Linked DNA regions of Coturnix japonica. The protein of the gene in region 1 interacts with the protein of each later gene in a pairwise test. Links are inferred from orthologs where the notes say so. Each region holds a gene or a part of one and is shown in the gene's direction. Other genes may lie near its edges.

What was found.
Region 2: the proteins of SYT4 (region 1) and SGTA interact in binary tests that used the Homo sapiens proteins (3 or more experiments, as listed by UniProt). The two-hybrid records come from large-scale screens. The link is inferred for Coturnix japonica from reciprocal best matches to the Homo sapiens genes SYT4 and SGTA.
Region 3: the proteins of SYT4 (region 1) and NBR1 interact in binary tests that used the Homo sapiens proteins (3 or more experiments, as listed by UniProt). The two-hybrid records come from large-scale screens. The link is inferred for Coturnix japonica from reciprocal best matches to the Homo sapiens genes SYT4 and NBR1.

Annotation. Positions count from the first base shown.
Region 1 is NC_029547.1:3,043,898-3,051,870, forward strand, and holds the start of SYT4 (synaptotagmin-4), read left to right. Parts: upstream 1-3,187; 5' UTR 3,188-3,696; coding exon 3,697-3,730; intron 3,731-6,433; coding exon 6,434-7,248; intron 7,249-7,973. UniProt on the Homo sapiens protein: Synaptotagmin family member which does not bind Ca(2+). Involved in neuronal dense core vesicles (DCVs) mobility through its interaction with KIF1A.
Region 2 is NC_029543.1:2,300,958-2,307,615, forward strand, and holds the end of SGTA (small glutamine-rich tetratricopeptide repeat-containing protein alpha), read left to right. Parts: intron 1-261; coding exon 262-366; intron 367-555; coding exon 556-694; intron 695-1,295; coding exon 1,296-1,358; intron 1,359-1,785; coding exon 1,786-1,823; intron 1,824-2,577; coding exon 2,578-2,667; intron 2,668-2,880; coding exon 2,881-2,995; 3' UTR 2,996-3,004; intron 3,005-3,308; 3' UTR 3,309-4,582; downstream 4,583-6,658. UniProt on the Homo sapiens protein: Co-chaperone that binds misfolded and hydrophobic patches-containing client proteins in the cytosol. Mediates their targeting to the endoplasmic reticulum but also regulates their sorting to the proteasome when targeting fails.
Region 3 is NC_029542.1:4,754,558-4,761,905, forward strand, and holds part of NBR1 (next to BRCA1 gene 1 protein), read left to right. Parts: intron 1-570; coding exon 571-633; intron 634-1,989; coding exon 1,990-2,008; intron 2,009-2,394; coding exon 2,395-2,417; intron 2,418-3,251; coding exon 3,252-3,398; intron 3,399-3,944; coding exon 3,945-4,019; intron 4,020-4,155; coding exon 4,156-4,373; intron 4,374-4,949; coding exon 4,950-5,114; intron 5,115-5,553; coding exon 5,554-5,760; intron 5,761-6,504; coding exon 6,505-6,664; intron 6,665-7,143; coding exon 7,144-7,348. UniProt on the Homo sapiens protein: Ubiquitin-binding autophagy adapter that participates in different processes including host defense or intracellular homeostasis.

The DNA of each region.
Region 1 (7,973 bases):
CAAACTTCACGAAGTTTTTCTAAAGAATCCATGTTGTTTTTCAGAACAGAATAAAATGCAAAGAAAGTGTATCCACAATGAGGGAGAGTCACTATTATATCAGAAAAAATAAAAATAAAAAAAAAAATATCCTGAAATAGAAATTTAATTGATTAAAAAGCACAGAGGGCTCAATGATGATTTTTTTTTTTTTCCCCTCTACTCACTTTTCAGAACTGTACATGAAGAAACAGTGAGTCAGCAGTATTTATGCTTGTGCTACTTACATGAGTGTATTCTATTCAGTTGCTGATGATGGGTCTAAGACGTACACTAGATGGTGCTTGCACAACACAGGGAACGAAAAGTACGTCTGTCTCAGGATGTGTCAGCAACTCAGTACTCTGCCTCTTCTCAAGTATTTTCACTATGTTCCATTATGTGGAATCCTATAATTAAATATAGAAGCTTCATGAATGTAGTAAAAGACTGGTTATCTGCTATTACACTCACCAAGAAATAAAATCATTCACTTACGTATTTGTTTATATACTTACATATACCTATGCATACACTCAGTCTTATCAGTTCCAAATGCCTAAATACAGAAGAGAGATACATTTTCTATCATGTCTTGAAAAGCTACATTTGCACAGAACTGAGTAGAAGGGAAGGTCTCTGTACAATATTTTTGTACAACATCTATCACCACAGGATTCTTACTCAGTGTGTGATATCTAAGATGAAATACAAGGAGTTGGGGGGGGAGGGGGGGAGGGGAAGTACTAATTTTAAAAAGAACATGTATCACATTTCAGCAAATTTGTCACAGACAGTCAAAATAACATAAAAGAAAAAAAAATCTGGATGCTGAAGGAAGGTCTTTCTGTGAACTATACATATATACTTATGAAAAGTATGGAATAGTAAAAGAAAATCTGAAGAAAGAATTTCTACATTATCATGAGCTTCAATATTTGTTTCTATTTAGACTAAGGATATCCCAGATTTCATTAATGAAAGTAATTATTATTATTATCATCATTGTCATCACAAATTATTTACAATCATACAAGTGTGGTCATGTGATGCCCTAGCTCAGCTAGCACTGGTAACCAAGTAAGCTATTTTTTGTACATTGTTTTTAAAGTCCAGTCATAATAACAGATTCTAATAGTTTAATATTCCAGTTAAAGATATTTTAGTCCTTTTTTTCATATGTGTTTTGATTATGTCAGCCATATCAAGAGGCTTGAATACCTGGAAAGGCGTCTAAAACTAAATGAAATTGTTTTCAGTGGATGTGCATTTTGAGAAAGGAATTTTGGTGAAAAAACTGTATTGACAAACCACACCTAAAAGCAAAGTATCAGGAATGGTGTGGTGGGCAGGACTAAGGAAGTCCTCCTGCCCCTGTACTCAGTATTAACGACACCTCTCCTCAAGTACTGTGTTCATTTTTTGGCACCTCAGTATGGAAAGGACATGGAGGTGCTGGAACAGGTCCAAAGAAGGGCAACAAGACTTGTGAAGGCCCTGTGAGGAGCAACTGAAAGAATTGGGTCTGTTTAGTCTGGGGAAAAGGAGGCTGAGGGGAGACTGTATTACTCTCTTCCAATACCTGAAAGGTGCTTACAGCGAGTGTGGGATTGGACTCTTCTCACTGGTGACAGGTGGTGGGATGAGGGGAAATGGCTTTAAGTTGTGCCAGGTAAGTTTAGGTTGGATATTAGGAAAAACTTCTTCTTTACAAAAAGTGTTGTTAAGCACTGGAATAGGCTCCCCAGGGAGGGGTTTGAATCACCATTCCTGGATGTGTTTAAAAAACCATTTGGATGTGGTGCTCAGGGACATGATTTTGCAGAGGGTTGTTAGTTAGGGTAGTATGGTTAGGTTGCAGTTGTACTTGATGATCTTTAGGAACTCAATCTTATTGATTCTATGATTCTATGTTTTTTAAATGGCTTAAGATATAAGGAAGTCTAAGGTAGTGGATACAGCTACACATGAAAGAGATGGGTAGTTACATGTAACAAGACAAACTGCTGAAAGTACAAAAGAAGGAGAAAAGCACAGTTAATATTAGCCAATATATTTTCAGTTCTCAGGACTAGGCAAGTGCTTTGGTAATAGCTTGTTTTAATTCCTTAGAATTCCCTTTTTATCATTACAAATGCCAAGGAGCTTCACTGGCTTCAATGTAAAACAAGAACATTCTTTGAATTGGGCCAAGACATACCAGCACCTATGCAGCCCATTGTGGAGCACAGTGATTCCAGACTATCTCAGCATTTGAATTTTGTTATTTAGATGAAAAACAACACCTGCTTCCCATTTATGCAGCAAAATTAACTGTTGGGATTCAAAGTTGGCTGATACAGTTCATTTTGAATCCTGAAGTCAGATGCCAGATGCTGGCTTTTGCAGCTCTGTTGCACTACGATTTGTTCTGGGTTACTATAGTGGCTCTAATTTTGGGCAGCCCTGCTTTTCTTTTCTGTTTCTCTCAATTCCTCTCATCTGCCTGCCACTTACCCCTATCTCTCTAAATGTTCTTAGTCCAGACTTTGGGACTGATATGCAAATTGTGTAAAATCCAGATGTGTCTCAATAGATTCAGCTCTTTTCCAGGCAAGCAGGAATATCAAGAGGAGAAAAAAAAAAAAAAAAAACACATTTGCAGAGTGAAGGTTCAGGGTATTGTGTAGAGCTAGGTGATAAGGAAAATCAAGGACAGGGGATAGGGAGAAGGCACACTGGGAGTTATTATGATTCAAAAAACAGTAAGTGTATCATATCAGTCATTGCAGAAATATGTTCTTTTCTGTTGGAGCCAAAGCATCTGGATCATCTGAGCTGGCATCTCCTTCACATTATTGTAGCCCATCCAGCTGATAGATAAATAAGCAGATAAATAGATCTTACCCCAGCAAAACAGACACACCCGTATATTACACAAGGTGCACTGAATCACAGCCATTAACATTCCTCTTTCTGTGTCCAGCAGAGGGTGGGTGCTCATATCCTGCAGCAGGGCAGTTAAAATAATCGATGAGTGTGTGTTCAATCCCCAGAATGATAGAAGGGGGGGGAGGAGGGAAAGAGGGGGGAGAAGGAAAGAAGGGAGGGAGGGTGTGGTGGCCATGGAGGGGGGGCAAGGGGAGGTGGAGGGGGGGGGAAGGGAGGTGGGAAAGGTGCTGATTTCAGCCCTGTAGCGTCAGGATTGCGTCAATTTGGGTTTCAACCACGTCTTCAGTCTCGGTGCGGAGCTACTCAGAAGAACCAAAACAGGAAGGGGGTTGGAAATCAGTGTGCAGAGGGGAGGACCGACGCTCCCCCTCCCCCCACTCCTTCAGCCCGATCACAGCCTCCTTCTTCACCTTCCCCACTGCTTGTGTCTCCGGGTTTTGTTTTTGATAGTTTTTCTTTCTTTCTTTCCTTCTTTCCTTCTTTCTTCCTTTCTCTCTCTCTCTCTCTCTCTCTCTTTTATTTATTTATTTATTTATTTATTGTTATTCCTCCGTGGAAAAGCCTGCTGTCCGGTCTCTGCGAGAGAGTGACGAGCCGAGAAACAGCAGAGCATCACATTCGGCACTTTGAGCAGGGGCCGCTCAGCACCGGAGAGGGTGACTCTGCTAGCCCGGACAGCCTCGTCGGCCAGAGGCTCCAGGACCACGGACAGCGGCTCCAGTACCGCGGACAGAGAGCACCACCAACATGGCTCCGATCTCGGCCAGCCACCAGCAGTTCGGTAAGTGCGTCCCGGCCACAACTCCCTGCCACGGGGATGAGAAGAGCATGCAGGCAGCCACTACTGAGCCACCCCGGTGCCTCCCAGACTGCTGGGAGGAACAGAATTTCTTCTAGTTCTCTCTGATACCAGAAGTTGTGTGAATTTGCTTTCTCCCCTTTTTCTTTCTGTTCTTTTTCTCCTAGCCATTCCCTCTGGTATATCACTAGGAGAGAAGGAGGGGTTTGACTAGGTGCATTTTTGTATGGATGAGTTGGGAGTTGTTTTATCTGTCTTGGTTAAAATATCATGGCTTCGGAGTAAAATGCTGTAAACACATCTTGTGCCACAGACAAAATCTTCATCAAAGCCACTCTTGGGATAAGAATCCTTTTATCTTGTCATAGAGAAAGATTTGTAGACTGTTAGCAAAAGTGAAATATAGTTGGTTAAAGAACACTATTGAAAAGATGGGAATACAGTAATCCAGTGTCTCTGGCTAAATGTTCCTATCTGTCTATTTTTTGAGAATACCAATGATGACAATGAACTTTTCAGTCATGCCATTTCTATACACTTACTGTAGCATGAATAACTGTGATGCAGAAAGTTTTAGAGACATTGAAAATACAAAATGAATAGCATTACTCATAAAAGCTGTAAATTGTAATGTTTCGGAACTCTGCTTTACAAATATTGACTCAAGCCTAGATGTTATTTGCTTTACCAGTGGTTAAATTCAAGGATCATTCCACTGACTTAAGTGAAGTGACTCCAAATTTACATCACATAACTGAAATAAAATTTTCTCCCAGGATCAATAGGTGTTGTTTCCTATTAGTACACTGCCTTGAATGTTACCTGATTTACATTATTACAACTTGTTGTAATGTAATTTTTTGTGAATATAAAAAATTTTAGATATCTTCTTCTTTCCTACCTACCCCACCCATCTGATATTTCTAACAACACTCATGACATCATCCTTATCTAATTACTTATTTAAAGAAGTTAATTAATATTTCAGATACTAAATTGATTTTACCACTTCTTCCAGTAGCTGTAGAATAAAAACACAGGGTGGTTTCCATTACTATAAAAATTTTAAATGCCAACTCATGAAAAAGTATTAAAAATGTATAGATCACTCTTGAAAGCTATTTAAAGTATTCTCATTATCTCTTAATTACTCCTTGCTTTCTACCTTTGTTTCATTTACTTTTAAATTTTTTCAGCTAAGATAATACTTGAAACTCAGACAAAAATGCTTGGCTTAGAACAACTCCACTTTTTAAAATTCTGCATATAATTTTTAGTCGCTTATTGACTTCTCACAGTTAAACATATATTGATACAGCTTGTGGGCAGAAGTGATATGTTTATTGTCAGAAGAAACTATTAACAAGGCCTTGCACTTTCTGTACTGGAACATTTTGTCCTGCTTTTTTGATAATGTTATGTTTTTTGTTTTAGTTTTGTTTTTTTGTTTTTTACTCAAAGTCAAAGTTATGGTGGTGGTACATCTATTAGAGCTTTTACCCAGATAAAGCATGTTTAGTAATGTGTACAATAGGATAGTTTTGCTTTCCTTGTTCAGAATGATCTGCTAATTATTTGCTAGAGGAACTGTAACACAATTGGCTTTATGCATAAACAATGTCATTCTATTAATATTCTACTAGTCTACTAGTGCAGAGAATAAAGATTAAGCTCTTATCGTTACACTGTGGGAGGTTTAAACTCACTTAGTAATGTTACTTATGGGCAAAATTGGATTTCCAATTAGTTGTGCTCATTTGCCCCTTCAATCCATGCTTGCAAATGGCTAATGATACTCCATATGCAACTGAAGTGTCCACATGGCAGTTGAAATTGAAACATTTGGATAGTTTTTTCTTCATTCAGATTTCAAATATAGGACTGTTATCAAGGTAGATGAAAATTACATTTTAATGTTTCTTTTATATACTCAAAAGAAGTGATCCATCATGTATGCTCTCTATAGCTTTGATTCATAGAGTCCCAGAATCAAAGCTTAGAGGGTATCAGTGATGCACTTAAGTTTCATAGCTTTTGACTCACATGCAACTGCCAAATGTTATATTCATCTGCAGAGGAAACTTGGCATGTAACTATTCTAAATTTTCTTAATAGACTTTCTCCTAGAATGTATTGAAAATCCTCTTGAAACTCCTCGGTGTTACAACTACCTGAAAAATTTGATTTCTTTCAACAGATACCTTCAGACAATTATGGGATCAGTCCATAAAGCTGAGTTGAGTACAAAAAGCATTTTAGGAAACTATGTGAAAAGCAGATGATAAACCTATAAGGAACAGATATATCAGAATTCCATCTAAAAAATACAGTACAATAAAATCAAAGATAAAACCTGATCTAGTTTTTCTCACTGACATATAAACTCCAAAATTACACAAAAAATGATGAAATAGCTGATAAATTATTCATCATAATTACTGTTGCAGTGGGAACAGTATTTTCCTTCCAGACATCCTTTGTATGGAAAAATACTAACAGCATGAGATTAAACATTCACGCCTGCAGGTGGCGAACAATGCATGCAATGAAATGCACTTTCAGTATGTCAACTGCTCCTGTTACCATCTCGTATCAGTTTTCCTGCCTAAATTATCATTTTATTAAATATCACAGAGTAGAAGAAATTGCTGCTTATTTGCTTGTTACTGTTTATTTGATTTGCAGATGAAATTCCTACAGTTGTTGGGATCTTTAGTGCATTTGGCCTTGTCTTCTCTGTCTCCCTTTTTGCTTGGATCTGCTGTCAGCGTAAATCATCCAAATCCAATAAGACTCCTCCGTATAAGTTTGTCCATGTTCTGAAGGGAGTTGATATTTATCCTGAGAATCTCAACAGTAAGAAGAAGTTTGGAGTAGATGATAAAAATGAAGAAAAGAACAAATCAGAAATGTCAAAGAATTCTCTTCATCTTGACCTGGAGAAGAGAGATCTAAATGGCAACTTCCCAAAAACAACCTCAAAAATGCAGAGTTCTCCAGACTCTGAAAATTCATCTTCAAAGCACTTTTCAGAAAAGAAGAAAGATTCGGTTTCCCCTGATAGTTTAAAATCCACTACATCCCTGTCATCTGAAGAAAAACAAGACAAACTAGGCACTCTCTTTCTCTCTTTAGAGTACAACTTTGAGAAAAAGGCATTTGTAGTGAGCATCAAGGAAGCACGTGGGCTGCCAGCAATGGATGAACAGTCAATGACTTCTGATCCCTACATCAAAATGACAATCCTTCCTGAGAAAAAGCACAAGGTGAAAACCAGAGTGCTGAGGAAAACCTTAGATCCTGCTTTTGATGAGACCTTCACGTTTTATGGGATCCCTTATAGTCAAATTCAAGACTTAACGCTTCACTTTATGATCTTGAGCTTTGACAGGTTTTCCAGAGATGATGTCATTGGAGAAGTCCTCATTCCTCTTGCAGGAATTGAATTGTCGGAAGGAAGGATGCTAATGGACAGAGAGATCATCAAAAGAAATGTTAGGGTAACATATTTCTTATTTAAAGTTTAGAGGTGTTGTACTGGTTTAACTATGATACTTGAACAATATTGCTAGCATCCTGGGAAAAAAAAGGGAAAAGTTTATCAAATGTACTGCTGAGATCTTTTCATTAGGGCAGTATAAGGAAACAATTACACAAAAATAACAAAGTAACACTACAATAAGCATTTTGCAATAAAATGTTAATTTTCCAAATTCTTCTTGCTTACTCAGATGATCAGCAGGTTTTGGTGGATCTATTCACATTAGGTCAAGAGGCATAAATTAATTTTAATTTGCTTTGATGAGAAAGAATGCAAAAGAATATACTTTATTATACTCTTCCTACATCTTTCCTGTTTTAAATATATATATATTTTTCTCTCTCTCTCATTGTCTTTTAAACAATCTACATTTCTTCTAAAGATCCTAAGTTATGAGGGAGCTGTTAAAATTACTCCAAAGTCAGTAGAAAAGCACAGTGATTTCACTTGGCTAAAACTATTTCAAATTGTTTTGTCTTATTTCAGAACAGAAAGATCATTTACAATAATCACAGAGCCATCAAAATGCATATGAATCATGAACACTTCTTTTGTTCTCTGCTAACAAAGTAGAATGTATATTGACTTTCATTTGGATTGTTTCCAAAGATCAAGCATGCTGAAAAATCAACTAAATGTCTGTCAGATAACATACCTATAACTCATATAGTTATTTTGCAATTC
Region 2 (6,658 bases), on another chromosome or scaffold:
GGGATGCTTTCCTGCTTCCTTCCTCTTGGAAGGCCTGTAAGGAGGAGTGAGAGCTCAGATCTGTTTGCAGTAGGACTAGAAGGTGAAAGCTGAGTGTTTGGATAGCGACCTGCTCATGTAGGCACAGCCTGGATTTATGTCAAGTTCACACTTTGACTTTCCCTTTAGAGCAGGAGGCTGCAGAGAGGGAGCAGAGGTGACCTTGATCAGCACATTCAAGCTGATAAGTGTTTTCTGCCCATCTTTTCTTCTTCTCTCCAGAGCTGCTGCGTACAGTAAATTAGGAAATTATGCTGGAGCAGTCAGAGACTGCGAAAGAGCAATAGGCATCGATCCAAACTACAGCAAAGCTTACGGCAGAATGGGGTAAGTACGAGAGCAGGTTTTTGTGCCAGAATTGTAGTCTCAAAGTGCTTTGTGGTAATTACACTATCAGCAATGTTCTGCCCTGGAATGCCGTGTAGAAATACCTGGTGTTTCACCTCTGCTGGGGGTGGAGGAAGGCTGCGAGTGCTTATCTCCCTCTTTGACTTTCTTTTATTTCCCCTTTAATAGCTTGGCTCTCTCCAGTTTAAATAAACACACAGAAGCTGTTGTCTACTACAAAAAAGCTCTGGAGCTCGATCCAGACAATGACACGTATAAATCCAACCTTAAAATAGCTGAACAGAAAATGAAGGAGACTCCCAGTCCGGTAAGTGCTGAAATCAATGCTTAAGTGTGGATGAGATTGAATGGAGATTTCTTTACTGTGCTGCTGCAGGTGCTGGCAGGAGCTCGGTTGTGTTTAGAATACAGCTCTTGCATGCAGATAGATGGAGGGGGGATGATTAATGAGTGCTGCTGTGACCCCCCCCAATAAAAAACCCAGAGAGAGCAACTTGTGTGCTGTGCTGGCACGCAGTCACCTTGGGCTGGGAAGTGAGGCTGATTAGAAGGAGCTTTTAGAAACACTATTTTAGTATCTTAAAGGGGATTTCTGCCTTTTAGAGCCTCCTGTAGCACGGAGGTGGGCAGGTGGGTGTGTTTGACTTGGCAGGTGTGGTGGGTTGGGGCAGGACGTCACTAGCACGGCTGGGCTGGTGCAACAATGCGTGTGATGCCATCATTGCTATCAGCATGTGCCCTTTGCCTCCCTGAGTGAGCTGATCCCCATCCTGCCCTTTGTCATGCTTTAAAGACCAGCTTCTGATAACACTGGGAGCATCGAGGTACCATTCATTGCAGCGTGCTGTTTATTGCATCAGAAAGTGAGAGGATGTCACCACCCACGTGTGGTGTCTTTATTCTTACAGACCGGAGGTCCCGGAGGATTCGATTTAGCTGGCTTGCTGAACAACCCTGGCTTCATGAGTATGGTAAATGCGGGCACAGATCACAGCCAGGCTGTACTCAGTCTGTGCATTTATCCATTAAAGATGAAACGTTTTGGGACGTGGAGTGGGGTGTTCCTGTGTCTCATGAGCAGCTTTGCTGTCGTTTCTTGGTGTTGCTGCGAGGAAGCTGTGCTTGTATTTTGCACCCAAGTCAAATAAAGAGCCAGTGACTTATTCACAGGCTGCTCCTTGTGACGTGCTGGGTGTGGAAAGGGTGCCTGTTCTGCATTACCAGCCTTGTCTTGTGTGTTGCACTGTGCTTCTCTTTGCTATTTTTGTCCTATTGATCTGTTTCCAAGTATTTCTGCCTTCGCTTTGTTCCTAGTTGAATGGCACAACATCTGCATATCTACCCAGGCATTTCTGACTAAATAGGGTGTCATTTTTTTTTCTTCCCCTCTTTAAATAGGCATCTAACCTAATGAACAATCCACAAGTACAACAGCTGTAAGTTTGATCCCGCGTTCTCTTTCCTCTTTGAGTCACTCCTTTGAGGCTGTGGTGGGAGGGGGGTGGGTGCTGGAACCAGAAATGTGGAAGGCAGCCCTTAAAGCAGCCGTGAACCAGTGTGTGTTTTGAGTACTCTGGGCTGTGTTGAAGAGGAACCTCAATAGGAGGCATCTCACCCTCTGTTAGAATATCTCTATTCCTTGTAATGCAGAGTTATGGGGATCAATTCACATCTGTCCGAAAGCTGAGACAATATAAAACCATGAAGTGAATAAAGCCTCTCCAGTCTGTCCCTTCAGAGCTCAGGCAGTCAGTGGAGCCCTTCTGGAGCTCAGCCTTACTGTATGAGGCAGCCCTGCTACAAAGCCAAACATCTGCCACCATTTCCATTTGCTTCTGCCTGCTCCTTCCACTCCTGTTGTCAGCTGAGGTTCTGTGCCAGGTGCAGCCTGAAGACTTGAAGGGGCTTTGCAGACCCTGCACTGATAGCCATGAGTCAATGTTGAGGCTGTCAGTAAACCTCATTTGGTGCAGAGCTATCAAATACCTTGTGTGAGGAGGAGCAGTGTAATAATTAAGCATAACACCAAGGAGAGAGGAATATTTGTCAGTACAGTAAGAAGCTGTTATAAATACTTCTGCATATCATGCAGCTTAATGATACAATTGCTCTTCTTTTCCCCTTTTAGTATCAAACAAAAAAGATTTGGGTGTGTTTTTCTACTCTGAGCAATGACTCTTCTTTCCACAGCATGTCTGGGATGATTTCTGGTGGCCATAACCCCATGGGAGCAGCAGGCACCAGCCCCTCCACAAATGACCTTGCCAGCCTCATACAAGCGTGAGTAAAGAGCTGGCTCTTCTCCATGACCTTAATCACTAAACAGACTTACAGATATTGTGATCAAAAGTAAAAACTTCAGTTAAGGGTTGAGTAAAGCTGCACTGTAACGTGAACTGCTTGTTAGAGCAGGGTTCTGGCAGTCACCTGGGATGAATTCCATAGCCCTATGGGTGTGTGAGGACACAGTAACTGTAGCTTGTTCTCCTGCAGGGGCCAGCAGTTTGCTCAGCAGATGCAACAACAGAATCCTGAACTAATAGAACAGCTACGAAGCCAGATCAGGAGTCGAACTCCAAGTGCCAGCAATGAAGATCAGCAGGAATGAGCATTACAGGTGAGGCTGCGGGGAGGATCTCAGTGTTGTGCTGCAATATCTGCCTTGTGCCTTCACTTAGCAGCTCAGTTTCTCTTCCCCTCCATACAGACTGAGCTCTCTGCTGCTGCTGTGCCTTGGGGAGACGCAAGGCTCAGCTCTGCAGAGCTTTGAATAGACCTCCCTCATGCTTTGTGACTGGCAGATGAATGGTGTTAGCAGTTAAAGGGGGCTGCTGATGTTATAGGTCTCTGATGTTGAATTGGGGTTGCTGTCTTTACTCATAAACTCAATTCACAAATGTCTTCTCTTCTTGTCTCTGCAGTGCAGTCCGTGGGATTCACCTTCTTTGCTTTACAAACTGGAAGCCATGTGCGTGGTGCCATTTGAATTGGAAGTGTCCAAGAAGGGGAGAGAGGGGAGGGGGGGGGATAAAACAAACCCACCCCCAACACAAAATCCTTCCTATGACCTGCATGTTCAAGACCAGCTTCACACTTTTCTTCCCCCAGTCTTCGTCCTGCTCCTCCCCCTCCACCTTTCCCATTAAGTTTTCTTCTGGAAGATCCAGCAAACACCAAACCAGCACCAAACAGTCTTTCTAAAGAGACTCAGTCATTCACGACGCTGTTACATTTCTATGGTCTTTGCTACGTTGGAGGGCATTTTTTAACCCCTTTTTGAAGAACGATGAGCTCTTCACTACAGGACACCTTTGCTTTCCTGCCTACACTTCAAAGAAGTGTTGGAGTCCCACCTCCATCCTGCTTCCCCTCCATCTTCCTGCCACTTACAAGACAGTGACATTGGAGACCACTGGATCTTCTTACCTCCAAGGACAGGCTTTCTCTTGATGTTACTCATTCAGGTCTGTAGCAACGTTGTGTTGTTCACACACATAGGATCCGATGGCTGCCTCTCTAAGGTTCCCATCATTATATTGGATGGGTTGGGATTGATGAGGTAGAACGAGCGTTTCCAGTTACACCTCTTGGGGTCCATCCCCAACCTTGACAAGAACTCATTTAGTGTTAATAGTAATTAGTGTTGGAATGAGCCAATCTGTGAACTAGTCGGGTGGACATTAAGGAAAGATATCATGTTTTCGGTGTTTAAAAGGTTTCTCTTTTGCTTTTTGATGCATGTAAGTAACCAACCCAGTTGATAATAGGAGTAAAGAGAAGGAAGGATGGAATAAGAAGCAGAAGGAATCCAAATGCTCCTTGGATATAGAAGGAAATACATGGAAATAGAGAATGAAAGGGCTGCTGGTTCAATGTGGGAGGATGGAGGAGATCCTTGTTGCTGGATACCTGCAGCTTCCCACCTCCCACAGCATCCTGGATGGGGATGGAGGCTTTGGGATCAGCTATAGGGCTGTATTAAAGGGTTTTCTAATGTATGGGGCCCTATTGCTGGGCATGGGGGCAGCTGGATGGCTGAGGATTGAATGGGAGATATAGGAGACCTGGTGGTACGAATGAGCAGGTATGTTGAATATCAAGGGAAACCAACAGATCTGTACATGCTCCGTAAATTTAATCTGTGGTTCATGTAAACTCGTGAAGAATAAACTATTTGGACACTCTTTGCTATCTATCCCCTTCTTATCACAGTGATTGAACTATCCGGCTCCATCAGCACAGCGGACAGCGCTGCCAACGGAGCAACCCGGAACCTTTCATCGCGCTGCGTGTTTCCGGCGGACTCCATTCTGCTGCACACCCCCCTAACGGGGAGTGGGCGGGCTGATTGATGTCTACCTCAGCCAATGGGAGCTTGTGATTATCATCTCAGCCAATAGGAGTGCGCCGCACGCCTGAGGGGGCGGGCGCTGCGCGGGGGCAGGCAGGACGGGGCGCAGGAGGGGAACGGAGAGTGAGTGGGGGGCGTTGGGGATGGGGGGGGATGGGAGGGAACGGGGGTCGGTCCTGAAGGGGTCGGAGCCGGCCCTGAGGGGGATGGGACGGTCCGAGGGGGGTCTCTATTGAGGTAGCAGCGAGTTGAGGGCTGTTAGTGGGGAACTGGGGGTGAGGGGGGGCTGTGGTGGGGATTGAGGCCTGTGGGGGGTTATGGGATATGTGGGGGGTTATGGGATATATGGGGGGATTTGGGGTCAATGTTGTGGGATTTGGGGTCAATGTTGTGGGATTTGGGGTCAATGTTGTGGGATACGAGGTCTCTGTGGGGGGATGTGGGGTCTGTGGGGGGTTATGGGGCCTCTGTGGTGGGATATGGGCCCTCTGTGGGGGGATATGGGCTCTGTGGGGGGTTATGGGGCCTCTGTGGGGGGTTATGGGGCCTCTGTGGTGGGATATGGGGCCTCTATGGGGGGATATGGGGTCTCTATGGGGGGATATGGGGTCTCTATGGTGGGATATGGGGCCTCTGTGGGGGGATATGGGGCCTCTGTGGGGGTATATGGGGCCTATGGGGGGATATGGGGTCTCTGTGGTGGGATTTGGGGTCTCTGTAGTGGCATATGGGGCCTCTGTAGGGGGTTACGAGGTCTCTGTGGGGGGATATGGGGCCTCTGTAGGGGGTTACGAGGTCTCTGTGGGGGGATATGGGGTCTGTGGTGGGTTATGGGGCCTCTGTGGTGGGTTATGGGGCCTCTGTGGTGGGTTATGGGGCCTCTGTGGTGGGTTATGGGGCCTCTGTGGGGGGTTATGGGGCCTCTGTGGTGGGATATGGGGCCTCTGTGCTGGGTTATGGGACCTGTAGTGGGACATGGGGCCTGTGGGGCTGCCCTACAGTTGAGGGGGGAGGCTCAAGCTGTGGCCCTGTGCACGGGGCCGTGGGACACCCCATTCCGCCCCCACCTCCCCAGGGTTGTCCATACAGACCCCATCACAGCCCCCTGCTCCCCCTCCTGGGCTCCCTGTGTGCTCTCTGCAGGCTTTGGGGGCATTCAGAGCAGGGACTGGAGGCCCGGCCTGTCTCCCCTGCCCACTAAAGCCACGCAGTGCCTATCCCACATTCATTCTTTGTTACAGAGGTTTCTGTGCTGCCAATATATCCAGGTGTCAGAGGCATCAACTGCTGCGGGCTGAGAAGAGCAGGAGGTATTTCCAGCCCTTGTTCACTAAGCTGCTTTCCTCAGAGGTCACAGGGCACATAGGGCTGCTCCAGTGCTGCCATCAGCATTGAGGCTCTTTGCTGGGGCTGGGTTAAATACAAATGTCTCAGATGCTGGAACACCCTCAGTGCTCTTTGCTCCTATCCCAGGAGCTGCCTGGTACCTTCACACCCAGAGCAACGAGCTCTTCTCTGTACAATCCCAATGCGTTGTCACTAACATTGGATTCAAGACTTGAGAAGCCCGGTGTGACAACATGCCATCGCTATGCAAGGTTATCCCCTTGTTCTGTTGATGCTGAAACCGCAGTGTGTGCATTGCAAAGGCAGCCTGGCTTGTTGGCTGTGTCAGCAATGTACTGACAGGCACTGGAGGGCCCAGAGGCAGCATCTCTGCCCATCAGCAGCAGTGACAGCCTCAGCCCTCCTGTCAGGATGTGCCCAGCTGGGTTCATAGGGTGAGTCCATCAGTGTCATCTGCTGCTGCTGATGGACATCACTTCGCACAGACACCCAGCTGAGAGCCAGCCCTGCTGCAGCCAAACTGCTGTGACCTCTCTTTGCTCCTGTGTAGGCAGAGCTTGAACTTGAAAAGAA
Region 3 (7,348 bases), on another chromosome or scaffold:
GATTTGTTGTTCTTATTTGGAAATGCATCATGGGTTTATGTGTTCAGGCGTACAGTGAATCTGCCAGGGAGTAGTAGAATGTAAAATTCCTCTCATCTTAACTTGCATTTGTTCTAGTTTCTCAAAATTCAGGTAGGTTTGTCAGGGGAAAGAAAGGCTGCTTGTCAGTACCAGGTGTTGTTTAATGCACAAGCTAGTGTTCAAAGATTGTTGGCTTTAGCCTCTGTAAATTGCAGTGTTTTCCATGACTGAGTTCATTAACCCTGAGCAAGTCCCTTTACCATGTAAAGGCTATTCTGTGATCTTGATTTGCTGGGTAAACGTTAACTAGAGAAGCTGGAACACTAAATAAATGATTTTCTGCTTTTCACTGTGGCAAGTTGGTAAAAAGTGGGGTTTAGGGAAGACGCTGGGAAGAGTTTTTTAACTCCAGAAGAACAGACTTTGTAAAACTGAAACTGAGAGGGAAGGGACCTTTTTTTTTTTTCCTGTTAATGGTCATGATTAACTGAAATCTGCTGGAGGCCTGTCTCATTGACTTTGTTTTAATTTTTCTTCTTTTGCTTGCAGGTTAAAGTTTCATTTGACCTGGATGACATTCAGATAAAATACATTGATGAGGATAATGATGAGGTATAATGCTGCCCCTGTCCCCCTCTCCCCTCCCATCTCTGAAATACAACTGCTGTGAACCTTTATGCCTCTTATAGTCAGTCTTTCTGGAGCATATATTTTGCAGAGGTGGTGAGCTTTGTCCCTTTGAGAAAAAATGTAACTGATAGTCTCTTGGTTTCACTCTTAATGTAGCATTCCTAATTTCAAACAGAAGCTATTGCTTCTGTTTTTAACACCAGTATAACCCTACAGAAACAGTTAGTGTTTCTTTGTGTTCTGAGGAATGGGAAGTTCTGTTGAGGAATTTTTAGTTTTTTTAAATTATTATTTTATCAGAGTAAAGTACTTGTAACTGCTTGTGTCCGAAGCCACAATAAAGCCCTGTCTCTTCAATCTACGCTCATTCTTCTGAGATCCCCTGGCATTAGCCCATGTTTACTTCAGTGATCTGGTATACTCAAATCCCCTGCTTATTTTATGTGAATGCTATAATCTGCAAGCAGATTACTGACTCAGAAGGCAAATTAGTTACTTCCAGTTGTCCTTGTTGAGTAACTTCCTGTTTGTCATAACTTTGACCTCATTCTTTCTGCTTATCTGGAGTTTAGATTGGAATGTAGCTGTCAAACAGAACAGAGTTGCTGAGCAGTCTGAGCTCTACAGATAGATTTGCCGCTTGGCTAGATTGCAGAGATGAGGATTTAACAAACAAAAAACCAAAACAAAACAAAATTCCTAATGGGAAATGTCAGGACACTTCCAGAAACATTGCAGGGAAAGATTCTGTCCTTATTTTCCAGCCTTTATTTCTTTCCTTGTCAACATGTATGTATACTTGTTTAATGTGTGTGTCTGCTCAAGATCTCTTTCATTTGCTAATAGAGTAAATATTAGAATTATGTAATGCTGTAGCAATTAAATGACTCCTTGTATGAATAACTTCTTTATGCAAATTTTGATTTAAAAAAGAAAAAAGAGCACCTGTAGCAGATTGTGTTGCCTGGTTTGTGATCAAGAACACATAAGTGTTGCATTCTTGGTATTAACAGCAACTGGGTCCAACCTCTGTTTAATTGCGTAGGAAGCCTTGTGATAGCAACACTGGTTTACTTCTGCTGAGTGAGACCATGCTTATTCTGGGTGCCAGTGGAGCCAGGGGCCTTGCTGGTGGTGCAAACCTAATAAAGAACGTGATCTAGTCCAAAACGCTTCAGCATTGGTTAATAATTAAACATTGCAGCAATAACAAAAATCTGAAAGAATGATAGGTACCTAAGAAACTGAATAAAAGTACATTTACCTTGTAAGCACGTTGATTTCTAGAACTACAAAAATAATTAACAGGCTGTTACTCATTATTATTTCTCTTTACAGGTTTCTGTGAATAGCAAAGGTAAGCTGCTGTTTTATTGAACTAAAACCAGGCTTGTTGATAGACTTCAGCTGTTACTGTAGGGAGAAACAGCTGAGAAACCTTGCTTGTTGAAATTTCATACATGCTTGTGTGTCAAATTCTTCCCAGCAGAAGAAAATGTATGATACATTGTAACTGTTTGTTTGTTTGTTTATTTATTTATTTTTTATGAGTGAGTTAATGGAATGTTAACTCTAATAAAGGCTACATGCCTTTCCTTGGTGCCACATGTGCAGCAGCTACTTTAAAATAATTTATTGAAGGTGTGGAGGGAATTCCTAGAAGAAAGGGTTCTTAAATGCTGTATGCTAAATTTACGTGTATTTGATGTAGGAAACATTCACATGTTTCTCTTTTCTTTTCAGAGGAATATGAAGAAGCTCTGAAGGTAACTGGTCTCTGAATTTTTCAGTATATTCAGCTTTCTAATGAGGATTGTTGTAGCTGAAAAAATAGCGTTATCTAGCATGTGGAGCTCACATGCTATATATAGCATGTAGCTCAGTTTTCCTGCTTTGGATGATAGTTTGAATATTTTGCTACGCTTTAGTCCAGCCAGGCCGATTTTGACATGGTATTAATTATTTGAGTATATTGTGGTTCAGGGCTGTAAGCATACAGTGAACAATCACTGACTTCATCAAACATGCAGTAATGCCATGTTTGGAGGTACTCGGCTCTTACGAGATCCATTTAAAAATTTAGCTGTGCGCTTTGCAGTGTTATACTCTCTGGCAATAAAACTTCCTTTCATGTTAAGAGCTTAGTTACTTCATCAACAGGTTGTTGTTGGTTTTTTTTTTTTTTTTTTTCTAGACCAAATAAGGATTGCATTCCTTTGAATTGTACAGCACTAGTGCTTTCAGAACTTATGGTTTGCATTTCTAATCTGAAAATAATGCATGAAAACTTATTTCAGGTTCCTTGTGAGATTTTCTGTTGTTTACTGGCTTTATGTAAACAGCTTTATTGTAGATTTTAGAACTGCTGCAGAATATTTGCCTAATAAACTTATTTGTAGTGATCTTTCTAATAAGCATATTGGTTACAAGGCAGAATATAAGAAGCTTGGTCTGTCACTCAATTTTTCATGTCTTTTGCTGTTCCTTTCCTACCCCCCTCTTCCATCCTTGCCTCTCTGGTGCACTATAATGCTGTATTTTTACATGATTTTGTATTTTGGTTTTAAGTGGAATAAATATGGTAAATTGTGTTTATTTAGATTGCTGTTAAACAAGGAAATCAGCTACAGATGAATGTGTATGAAGAAAACTCTCCTCTGAAAGAAGCTTCATCTTGTTCTTGGCAACTGCATGAAAAAACAGTCACTGAGAAGTTGGCAGTTCTTAAAGATGAGCTGACAGCTCAGGTAGGATGAAGACCTGGATTATATTCTCATTAAAACAAAGAATTGGAACGTTATTCATTTCATAGCCTGATTATCCTTTTTTCCCATTTGTTAAAAAACTAAGCTCACAAATTGGTCCTTGTAGCTACCAGAATGTGGCCATTGAAGGTCACAACACTGTTTGAATATCTATAAGAGGATGTTTTGATGCTATATTTAGAGGTTCATTCTTTTTGACGATTATGAATATCTTGATAAATAAAACGGTCTCCTGAAGGTCTGATTTGCCTTCTAGCAATTTTTGTTTGACTCAGTTGCTTTGGCTTCGATGTTTAATTGTATGTGAATGCAAATAAGGCAGAAATCTTTCAGGAAAACTTTAGTGGCTTCCTTGTCTGACTTTCCTGCTGTTTTCTAAAGAGCCTGAAATCTTTATTTTAAAAAACACTTGAGGAGAGAGCTATTTCAAAGTGGTTGCTATGCTGAAAGTGTGGTTTGGTTGGCTGGTTTGTTTTACAGTTCCATGTATTTGATGTGTTTGACTTTTTTTTTCCCTCCCTTCACCAGCAAAAGTTAAATCACAGTAGAACAGGAAGAACAAATCAAAGCCCTCCAGAATGGTTTACTAGCTACTTGGAAACTGTAAGTGTATTTTCTTTTGCATAATCCCTTAAGAGTGTTAAAATTTGAGAGGTTTTGGGTGGAATTGATACCTGTGATGCCTTGTAAAATCAGTATCTTGAATCTCCATCTTAGTGATGATTTTTTTCCTCTTCAGTTCAGGGAGCAAGTGGTGAAGGAAACTGTTGAGCAACTAGAACAGAAGCTATACGAGAAGCTTATTCATCACAATCAGTCTTCAGACTTCTCTGAGAGCTCTATTACAGCAGCACCTCCTGGTTCAGAGACCCAAACAAAGAATGGTAATCAACGTGACTGGCTGATCTCCTGCTGCAACTGCCAGGATCGAATTGTTGGAGTTCGCTACCAGTGCAGGTAGAACATGATGAACGATGACCCCATAGAAAACTTAAGCATGTGAATGAGAGTTTGAGAAACCATCTTCTTATTTCTAGTCTGATGGGTGGTATAGGCTTCAGAACCTCTAGTATGTATCTCATAAAGAGCTTACTTTCTCTGCTGTTGCAAACAGTCTTTATCTGCATAAAAGAAAAATTAAGAATGTTTTGAAAAAAATTTCTTACAAGAATGGAAGACAATTTTCAGACTCCTATTATTCTCAAGCACTTCAAAACTTTTTCTAACATACAGTGTGCAGTAGTTAAGCTAACCAAGTACTTTCCTTGATAAGTTAACAAAAGCATGAAAATTATAGCTACCAGTCTGTCAGAACTAAAAGGAGAGTTGTGTTTTTTTTTCTGTTGTTTTGTGTTGTTTTATGGTCAGTGATTTTAAAGGATTAAATGCTTTTTTTTTTCTTTTTTTTTTTTTCTGAGGGTTTTTGTTTGTTTGTTTGTTTTTAAATGGAAAGATTAATTGTTATTCTTTCTTTTCTAGTGTATTAATTCTTTGTCTACCTCCTGGTAATGTTCTACCCTTTCTACTTTGCAGTCTCTGTCCAGCCTACAATATTTGTGAACAGTGTGAAGCAGGAGTGTATGGACACGATCCTAATCATATTTTGCTAAAGCTACGAAGGCCTACGCTATGTGTTGCTGAAAACTATGATGTTGCACAGTTTTCACCTTGCCTGCCCACTACTCTGGAGCAAGTTAGGTAAATGATGGCACTTGTTAGTACCTGGTAAGACTGTCCTGGCAGTAAAATAGAAAACCTGTCTTGCAGTTAGCGTTCTGCTTTTATGAATTCAGATTTATTCAAAATAGGAAATGGTACTCTGCAGAGAGTATTTAAAAATAGTTCTATACCTAGATTCCTGACTAAAGTCACTTTGTTACAGAGCTTTTAATAGCAAAATAGAAAAGATCATAGGTAGTAGTCTTTGAGAGCTTGCTTGTTTTTTGAGCATGGTCTGATCTGTCTTCTCTTTGACCAAGGCTATTCTAAATACCTTTGTCAGCAGCTATGTTCTTTGAGAATTGTCTGGTATCGAGTCTAGAAACAAGAGGTGTTACCTGAGGTGTTCTGAGACTGTATTGACTAAAGCTAAATTTTAATCAGATTAGTATGCTTAACAAAGTGATTCTCTCTGCAGGCTCCAGAAGCAGATAGACAAAAGATTTCTGAAGGCAGAAAAGCAGAGGTTACGAGCAGAGAAGAAACAGCGAAAGGCAGAGGTCCGGGAGCTCAAAAAGCAGCTAAAATTGCACAGGAAAATTCACCTGTGGAACTCTGTCCCTGTATTGGAAACTAGTGGCTCACCAACTCTGAAGTCAGAAAATCTCCAACACAGTACCATACCGTAAGGCTTGTTATTAGCCAATCAATTCTTATTTGCACTGTCTGGCTATCTGTGATGAGACCAAGTTCAAGTAATGAGGAAGGCTGTGAAGTTGTCTCTCATTCATAGTATTGTTTGTGTTTGAATCCTGTGAAAATTGTGTCTAAATAGATGATTATGTAGGTTGGCAAGGGAAGGAGAGTGCATAGGATTACATGTGTGTAATGATGGTGAACTGCTGGTGAACTGCTTCACCAATCCTCTCTTGGTGCACTAAACTATCAGTAGAGCTTTTTATTTATTTGCGTATTAATTTATTGCCTTTCAGGCAAATCTGTGGTACCTACTGAAAAAACAATGTTGCATGTAAGGCCAAATAAGATACCACTAAACTATAAGTAGTTGATTCAAAGTTGGAAAGATAGTGACTTTCTTCTGTAACAGTGTAGTAGCATTGACCAAAGTGTTTTAAAACTAAATTAAATATCAACTGAAGAGCAGTGAACCCTTCTTTTAAACCTCGATATTGTAATATTTATAGAGATTCTTCAAAATGAGCAAATATGTTTCCTTTTTAGTTAAGCTAAGCAAACTGCTGAGTGGTGTTTAGACTTGAGATGAAAACTGTACTAAAACATTACAGTTTGGAAACACATCTAGAGACAGGAAAAAAACACATTTAAGTATGTTATTCTGTTTTAGTCATAACAGCTGAGCAACTTCCTCAGTTTTGGTGTTTTGGTTTCTCTTTCTTCACCCTCCCAGGGGTCTCAGTCAACACTTCCAAGCAGTTGTCCCAACACTGAGTGCAGTTTTTGTGGATGAGAATTTACCAGATGGGACTCGCTTGCAGCCAGGCACAAAGTTCATCAAGCACTGGCGAATGAAAAATACTGGCAATGTGGAATGGAGCACAGACACAAAGGTAGCTTTCCTGTGTTGTTAACGTGTACATACTAAAATAGTTGTAGAAAATTAAAGTTTATACGTACTAGGAATCTGAATTCTCACTTGGAACCTGTTTATGATTTGACTAGTTAATTGGGAAGTGTAGGGCAGTAAGCTTTCCGTAAAACTAGAGAGCATAGAAGGAAAGCAGTCAAGGTAAACATCAGTGAAAATGTCTTCTGTTGTTGTTCTAATGTAATAGCGCGGCCTGGTTACAGCAAGTATGTTGCACTTCTGATTTCTGGAGTGTTTTCTGCTGTGAGTGTTCACTGAATTCCTGTTTAAAAATGAGTATCTTCTTACTTTGTGCTGATAGAGACTAACATGAATCTTTACTAGCAGCCATTCTTTGTCTAGCAGTTGTATGAGGCATTGTAGTACAGAAGTTCAAAATGTTTCTTCCTTACTACTTGTAAAGAGAAACTTGTAAAGTTTTTTGCTTTTTTTCTGTTTCAGTTGAAACTTATGTGGGGAAATCTCACCTTGGCATCTTCTGAGAAGAAGGATGTGTTGGTACCATCCATACCAACAGGACAAGTAGGAACTGTTTCAGTTGAGTTTGTGGCTCCCAATATAGAAGGAACTTATACCTCTCACTGGAGGCTGTCACACAGAGGGGAACAGTTTGGGCCTAGAATCTGGTGCAGTATTGTTGTGGATC